Linked DNA regions of Canis lupus familiaris. The protein of the gene in region 2 purifies or fractionates together with the protein of the main gene of each other region. This does not show direct contact. Links are inferred from orthologs where the notes say so. Each region holds a gene or a part of one and is shown on either strand. Other genes may lie near its edges.

Region 1 (3,661 bases), on a different chromosome or scaffold from region 2:
GTCTTGTCTCCTGTTGCACAGCTGTCCATTTCTACTGGGTTGTCGATGAAGTATTTGTGCCTCTGAAAAATTGAGCTTGAGTCTGACAAAGTCTCCAGAACGAATTACCAGTTTACTGGAAAAACAGAGCAGAGGCACATGTTAACACCATCGAAGATGCAAGCAGTCATTTCCCCATTAGAATCAGCCTAATAGAAAATGGGAAATTCTGTTAGACAGATGACCTAGTTTTCCCAACCAACGGATGGCCAACAGAAGGAAGAGAGAGAGAGAGACAGAGAGAAAGAGGGAGGGAGGAATTTTATAGATTAAGAGATTTGAGAAACAGCACCCAAAAGAAAACTCCCAAAGTCCTGAAGCCTGATATTCATATTCCCCTTGACTTGAGCACCCCAGGCACACCGAGGATATGTGACCTTCAAATCGGTGACCCCCTGGGAGAACCAGCCCCTGATATGGCCTGTGAATCCTGCCCCCCACCATTGCTGGGATGTGATGCCCCCTTCACCCACCCCACTCTCCTGTCTGAGCCCACTCTCCTGATTCCCTCCTGGTTCCCTAGGGAGAAGGTGGGGTGGTGGGTGCTTTCCTTCTCGAAGTTCGATCTTACCCCTTCTCCCACGTCTTCCTCTCTCCAGCTTATTCCCAGCACCTGGACAACGAGATCAGTCACAGCAGTTACCTGGGGACTGACTACCCCACAGCCATGACCCCCACTTCCCCTCGGCGTTACTCCCCGGTGGCCAAGGACCTGCTGGGGGAGGAAGACATTCCCCGGGAACCGAGGCGGATCGTGATCCACCGGGGCTCTACGGGCCTGGGTTTCAACATTGTGGGTGGCGAGGACGGTGAGGGCATCTTCATCTCCTTTATCCTGGCCGGTGGCCCTGCAGACCTCAGCGGGGAGCTGCGGAAGGGCGACCAGATCCTCTCGGTGAGGGAAGGCCTGCCCCTGCCCCCTCACCACTGGGCACCCCCCCCCCGCCCCCTGGGGCAGAGCGCAGAGCTCTGGGGCCCAGCTCTGACAACCTGGCCTCTCCCTTGTCTCTAGGTGAATGGCGTGGACCTCCGCAGTGCCAGCCACGAGCAGGCTGCCATCGCCTTGAAGAACGCGGGTCAGACAGTCACCATCATTGCCCAGTATAAACCAGAAGGTACCAGGCCTGAAGCGCCCCAGCCTGCGGCTAAGCTGGTCTTCGGGGTGCCAGCCCCTTGGCTTGTGGCTTCTGCCAGGCCCAGTAAGGGTGGCAGGAAGGCCAGGGCCGCAGCTCAGGAACCTTCTGGTCCCTTCTAGAGTACAGCCGATTCGAGGCCAAGATCCATGACCTCCGGGAGCAGCTCATGAACAGTAGCCTCGGCTCAGGAACCGCCTCCCTGCGGAGCAATCCCAAAAGGGGTTTCTACATCAGGTTGGGGTGCTTCCGGGCCAGGCTTGACTTTGTTCTCTGCCCCCTGCCGCTGCCCCCCAGATCTTCTCCTCACCCCTGCCTACCTCCCACTACCAGCTGGGCCTGATGCTCTGCTGCTGGCCATGGGCTCGGCCGCATAGGTTAGGGACCTTAGATACTCTGTATCAGCCGGAAGGGGGCCTCTGGGCTGAGTTCCCCTGCTGCCGTCTGGCCCTTGGTCACCCCTACGTTTCCCCCTGAGACCTCCACAATCTGGTGACATGCAGGTCACTGGCCGGCAGGGCAAGGGCCTCTAGGCTGGGTGGACTGTGGCCTGCGTGAGCACCTCCCTGGGGGTGGCCCAGGGGAGCGGGGTGCCTGGTGTCGTGGGCGCCATGGCTTCTGCCTCCCCAGCCTCCCCTGCCGGGGCTCTGCTGCTGTCCTCAGAACTGTCGCCTCACCTCTTCCCCAAGGCCCAGACCCGCACTGCTGGCCATCTGCTTTCTGGGCACGTTCCCCCGGGATGTCCCACAGGCATCTTAGCTCTATGTGTCCTGAGTGGGGGCTCACTGCTTTCTCCCATGTTCTGGAGCTCTGTCTTGCTGCTCCAGCTTTCTCCCTCACTAACTGGTGCCGTTAACTGGCGCCCATCCGCCCAGACTCCTGCCTCCAGGGGGCCTGGCTTGGCCCTGCCCTGCCTGCTGAGCTCCGGTGCGCCCCCCCACCCCCCCCCCCCCACGCCGCCGCCCTGTCCTCGGTTGGTCTGTTCTGGCTTCCGGGTGTCTCCAGGCCGTCCCAGAGCGCCTCCCCTTTCACCTTGTTGCTGTGCTCCGCGTCTTGGCTGCCTCAGTGGTCCTTCCTTCCCCTGGCCTGACCCCAGGGGTCGTGGTAGGCTGATAGGAATTCGATACTGGTGGGGCTGATCAGGGATAGCACAGTGGTCCTTTTCTTTCTTAGGACCTTGTGCCGATTCCGGGTTACCTCTGGTTGTCCTGTGCATGCGTGCTGCACACTGCTTCCATGGGAGGGTGGTGTTCCAGATTGTTCTCTAGGAATTGCACTGAGTCCGTAGTGGCTCTGGTCCCTGACACAGTGTGGACTGAGTGGCAGATTGTATTGAGTGTGCCTCAATAGTAGAGCTTTCGGTCCTCCCAGGTTTTGAGTTCCTTGGAGTCCGCGGCCCCTGTGGGCAGGCTGTCAGCCGCTGTGCTTGGCTGTAGCCCCCTGGTCTGGAACCCCAGGCGGGTCTAGGGGTGCGGGGCGCAGGGGTGGCCTCGACCCACCTCTGATGGATGGCTGCCTGCCCCCCAGGGCCCTGTTTGATTACGACAAGACCAAGGACTGCGGCTTCCTGAGCCAGGCCCTGAGCTTCCGCTTTGGGGACGTGCTGCACGTCATCGATGCCAGCGATGAAGAGTGGTGGCAGGCGCGGCGGGTCCACTCTGACAGTGAGACGGATGACATCGGCTTCATCCCCAGCAAACGGCGGTGAGGCTCCCAGGCCCACAGCCTTCCTGCCACAGGCACTCAAGGCCCAGAGGTCCCCGGGTGGGCAGCCCCAGGACCTCCTGGGAGGGAGGGTGCCCGGCATCTCCCTACCCGCCTATCCCTCCATGTTCCCCACAGGGTTGAACGACGGGAGTGGTCAAGGTTAAAGGCCAAGGTAGGTGCCGGGAGTGAGCTTGGTGGGGAGGGGAGGGGCGGGGCGGGTGGGACTCCACCAACCACGTGGTCTGCTCTTTCTCCGTAGGATTGGGGCTCCAGCTCTGGATCACAGGGTAGGTAGGGTCCACTCGGTACCCCGGGGTGAGGGAGCCCTGAGTCTCTCTTGATAGCGTCAGGAAGGCGGCAGGGGGTCCTGAGTCCCATCTCCGAGCCCCTCGCAGACGCCCTGCCTCCCACTAGGTCGAGAAGACTCCGTTCTGAGCTATGAGACAGTGACTCAGATGGAAGGTGAGTCCTGGCCCCTGCTGCGCCCCGGCCCTGTCCCTGCTGCACCCCTGCCGCACTCTGCCCAGCCGTCCACCTGAGCTGGCTTTCTGTCCCCAGTTCACTATGCTCGCCCCATCATCATCCTTGGGCCCACCAAGGACCGAGCCAACGATGACCTTCTCTCCGAGTTCCCCGACAAGTTCGGATCCTGTGTTCCCCGTGAGTGTGGGTGGGGCCCCTGGGGGGAGGCAGGGAGGTGGCAGTGGGGCCCATGGGGGGGGGTCTCAGGCAGTGGGCCCGCAGGCGTTGGGGTGTAGGAGGACACAAGGGTCTTCAGAGGA
Region 2 (4,394 bases):
TGTTTGCAAAATGGGGTCCTTAACAGTCCCTCCCCATCACAGGGACGGATTAGGAGAGATAGATGCACAAGAAATGCACAGCCCACAGTAGGCAGTCAATAACATGACCATCCTTTCTCCCTTCAACCGCGCGCGGGGAGCCCCATAGCAGATGACCCATTCCGTGCCCGTCTCCCTCATTAACTCTGCGGTGTCCTCACAGGCAGGCAGCCAGGACTGTGTTCCTTCACATGAATCTTTGATGCGCATGAACTTAGGCAATCTGAATCCTCGGTCAGTGGCAGGTAAGTGCCTGGTCACTGTCACAACTTTCCGTGGAAATTGGGAGGGTGCAGGAGAAGCAAATGACCCGTGGTCTCTTCACCTAGCCAGAGGTCTGCCTGCTGGCTGCCCTGGAAATGTGGGGTGCAGGGCAAGGAGGGAGGGGCAAAGGGGGCGGGGAATGGAGACTGAGGGGTCTGTAGACCTAGAGCCTCTGCTCCTGTGGGGTCAGTCCTGATGCTGGGTCACTGGGCACAAGTTCAAGGGAAAGGTAGGAGCTCAGGGACAGAGACTTCTGGAAGATGGAAGGGGGAAGCCTGGTGGCTGTGACATCATAAGCCTGAGAGGAAACATTTGGTAATGGTCCCCTCCTCCTGGGGCTGTAGCCTGGGATCCTCCTGCAAGGAGGGTCTGGTGGAGGCTGGGAGTGACTGGGAGGAGGTGGGAAGAGGCAGAAAAGGCAGCTCCAGCCAGAGAGAGGTTCAGGGACCCCAGGAAAAAGAGTCCCTTCACCTCCCCCCCCACCCCGCTCTGCCCCAAGCCTGATGTGACTCTGGACAGCTCACTTGTCTCCGTGCCTCAGTGTCCTCATCTGTATGACAGCCTATTGTGTCATAGGATAATAGCCCCACAGTTGAGATGATGGGAGCTTAGGGGCGGAATTCCCTATTGTCCAGCCCATATTTGAGAAGGGCAGGGGTGGGGAGGTGGAGGCAAGGAGGGATGTGAGACAGGTGTGCAGGGGCTCACAGGGGCAGCGGGTAGAGGCTTGGCTGTCAGAACCTGGGCGACCCTGGGCAAGTTGCTTATCCTCTCTGGACCTCAGGAGCCTCATCTGTAATGGGACAGTCTGGACTGGGTCCCCAAAAGGCAAGTAGGCTTTGTGGTCATCCAACACCAAAGCGCCCCCTGGGAAGAGTGAAGGGAGCAGACGCCCCTGGGGGTGATACCATTAGCCCAGCACTATTCTAGGCTTGCACAGGCATTGTCTCATTTAATCCTTACCAGAACTCTATGATGCAGGCGCTTGTTACCCATGGGGAAACTGAGGCATGGGCCATGTTGGTACATGGCCAGGGACAACTCTGTGGAAGGGCAAGACTTGCTCTGAAGTTTGATAGGTAGTGATGGTAAAACGTTCATCCAACTGAACATTTTGCCAAAGCTTCTTGGCCCATTTTCCATTTTCAGAGATGATCCTCCCAGTGTCTTCATGAGGGAGCCTCTAGGACTATCCCTCATTCACAGGTGAGGAAACCGACCTGAGACACAGAGAGAGGAAGTGCCTTGCCCATGGTCACTCAGGGAGTAAGCAAATGTCTCAGCCACATTTGGAATCCATTCCTAGTTTCTGGGGAGAGGTCGTTTGAGGCCAGCAGAGCACTCGTGAACTGGCTCACTCTAGGAGACCAGTCAGGCCTCCCTGGTCCCATAGAGGCCTTGAGAGCAGGCACAGAAGGCCTGGAGGACTGCAGGTGGGAGGGCCTGAGCCAAGCTGGGAGAGGAGTGGGGGAGGTGGGCCACCAGGGGCCACTTCCAGATGCCAGAGTCACAGAGTCCAGGGGTTTGGGACTTAGAGAGTTCCTGAAAGTCTGGCCAGCCCATTCTACAGATGGGGCAAACAGAGGGAGCCCAGCTGCTTAGATTAGGAATCAGACCAGGACACAGCTGGCCAGCCTCAGAACTCTGAAGTCCCAGCAGCCCTGAGGGGTGAGGATGGATGGTGGGGAAAGGGGTAATGGGAGCCCACAGGGCCAAGACCCATCCCAGCGGCTATGCCCTGGGAATGGAGGATTGCAGGGGTCTCTCCCGCCCTCCACTCCCCCCCTCGCCCACCCCCCAGCACTCAGTAGTCACCAGGGTGGAATATTTTAGCACCTATAGAAAAACCGCCACAGACGGCCGTGGCAGCTGTTGCTAAGGAGACGCTCCCAAAATAGCCCCCCTCCGCCAACCTTTCCCGCTGCTGCTCCTGCTGTGGGGAGGGGAGGAGGCCAGAAGGGGAGGGGGTGGCATGTGAGCCCTGGACCCAGGTTCACCCATCCGCCCTTGCTCCTGCTGCCCACATGCCCCAAGATGGGGCAAGCCAATGACCAGAGCAGCCACAGGTCTGCAGAGGGGGCAAGAGCTAGCCTGGGCACAGTCCTCAGCTGGAGGAAGGTCACCCAGATGAGGGGAGATGGGGGGGAAGAGAGCCCCCCCCACCCGAAACCCTCAGCACACTCCTACACATGCACGATTACAGACCTCACAGTTTTACACATCCACTTGTGCACACCACAAGTACAGACCCACAAATGCCCTCCTTGATATGCATATTCACCACCACAGACACAAATAGATGCACGGGTAAATACATATGCCTCAAATACACAACACACACCTGCAAGCACATACCACGCAGCCATAAATACACACATTTACACACACATACTCAAATATGAATCGCAAGCACACACAAATACCAATGTATGCATGCACGCCTGGCACATGTACCCCCACACACGCACCGCAATGTAAATACGGTCTCACAGCACACGAACACACAACTGTAACAACACATGCCCAGCATGTGGCATTCAAAGAGCATTAAGTGGTGTTACCATCGGGTTCTGTGCAGGAGCCACGTCCTGGGCTCTCCAGACATCCTCACTTAGTGGGGGCACTTCTGCGATCCAGCTACAGGGTAGCAGACTAGGAGGCGGTGTCCAGGAGGGTGGTGGAGGCTGCCGTCTCTGTGAATCCCTCCGGTAGGTGGTCTGGGGACCAAAGGATCCCTGGTGCCTGGGAGAGCTACGCTGGGTCCATTGCTTGGGAAAGGGGATGTTCCGGGAAGGAAATCTCACCCTAGAGACTGCAAACCCATGGGCATGGGGGGAGTTGGGAGCCCCATGTTCACTGGGCACCTGGTTGTCACCAAGCCTGCAGCTGAGGCCAGAATGATGATGAGGACAAGAAGACAATAGAGTGGCAGCAGTGATGGTCCTTAACAGGTGCACAACACTTTACAGTTTATAAGCCACTTTTACACCCGTTATTTCACACACTTGGTAACAGCTGCCCTGAGATATCGGTGGTGCTGTCCCATCTCTGCGGCAAAGGCAGGAGAACGGACTTGAAGACCGCACAGCGGCTTACTGGCAGAGCTGGTACCAGAGCCCAAGGAGGTGCCAGCACCCAGCTCTATGCACCCTTCACTCGGCTGGACCGCACAAGCTAGAAAGCAGGCCACCAGGGTGCAGGGCTTGCCTTTGCCCCTGATTCGCTCGCTCTGTGATATTGGGGAGCAGCCAAGCGGTCCACCTCCCCACCTGGAAAACCGAGAGTGAACCCCAGGGGTGTATTCATCCTGCAGTTGGCGGGCACCGGGCTAGGGGGTGGTGCCAGATGCCCCCCCCCCCCCCGAGAATGCCAGCGCAAGGACGAAGGGCACCCGTCGCTCCCCTCTGCCCTCGGCCAGCCACCGTCTCTCTCCAGCCACCTCTCCCCAACCGCCCCCCCCACCTCCCGCGCACCGTTGGTTCCGTGGCTCCGGTTCGGCGATCCGGGCTCCGGGTCTTCGCTGACGCCTCGTCACTCGGGAGACGCGGAGAGCGGCTTGCGGTTGCCGTGGGAACCCCGCGGCGGCCCCGGAGCGGCGCACGACTCGGAGCCCGGGGGCCGGGCCTGCCCCGCGAGCGCCGAGGGGTCTTTGGCGTCTCAGACAGACACCTGTCGCCAGCGGCGAAGGGAGGCGGCGTCGCAAGGTTTGTTATGCTTTTCTTTTTCTTTTAATTGAGGTGTGACTTACAAACTGTAATACATCTTAAGAGCACAGCTCGATGGATTTTTACATATGCAAAAAACCCGTGTAATCACCACTGGGATCAAGATACAGAACACTTCTAACGCCCCAGAAGGCTTCCTCGGGCCCCGAGGTTATTTTTAATTGTCTTTTTTGCACTTCTGGAATAAACCGGCGAGGGAGTGATCGGCTTCTGAGAACACAGAATGTGTTTTCTCCTGGCTCTGCTTTGCGGATCCTCTTTGGGCCTGGGTGTCCCATAAAGGGGAGCAGGGGACTGGCATTTGTTGAGTGGTTTACTCCTTGCAAAGCGCTTTAGGTACCTAGCTAACTTTGACTCCTATCAAGT

Evidence for each region.
Region 1: the proteins of KCNJ4 (region 2) and DLG4 purify together in Homo sapiens (affinity purification with western blotting, with the first as the bait; 3 studies listed by BioGRID). This does not show direct contact. The link is inferred for Canis lupus familiaris from reciprocal best matches to the Homo sapiens genes KCNJ4 and DLG4.

The regions. Positions count from the first base shown.
Region 1 is NC_049226.1:32,375,462-32,379,122, reverse strand, and holds part of DLG4 (disks large homolog 4), read left to right. Parts: intron 1-638; coding exon 639-934; intron 935-1,051; coding exon 1,052-1,154; intron 1,155-1,294; coding exon 1,295-1,409; intron 1,410-2,699; coding exon 2,700-2,876; intron 2,877-3,014; coding exon 3,015-3,051; intron 3,052-3,138; coding exon 3,139-3,166; intron 3,167-3,293; coding exon 3,294-3,341; intron 3,342-3,437; coding exon 3,438-3,539; intron 3,540-3,661. UniProt on the Homo sapiens protein: Postsynaptic scaffolding protein that plays a critical role in synaptogenesis and synaptic plasticity by providing a platform for the postsynaptic clustering of crucial synaptic proteins.
Region 2 is NC_049231.1:27,320,631-27,325,024, reverse strand, and holds the start of KCNJ4 (inward rectifier potassium channel 4), read right to left. Parts: upstream 3,079-4,394; 5' UTR 2,865-3,078; intron 1,510-2,864; exon of another isoform or gene 1,453-1,509; intron 285-1,452; exon of another isoform or gene 102-284; intron 1-101. Other genes in the region: uncharacterized protein LOC119876745, read right to left, coding at 3,777-4,028. UniProt on the Homo sapiens protein: Inward rectifier potassium channels are characterized by a greater tendency to allow potassium to flow into the cell rather than out of it.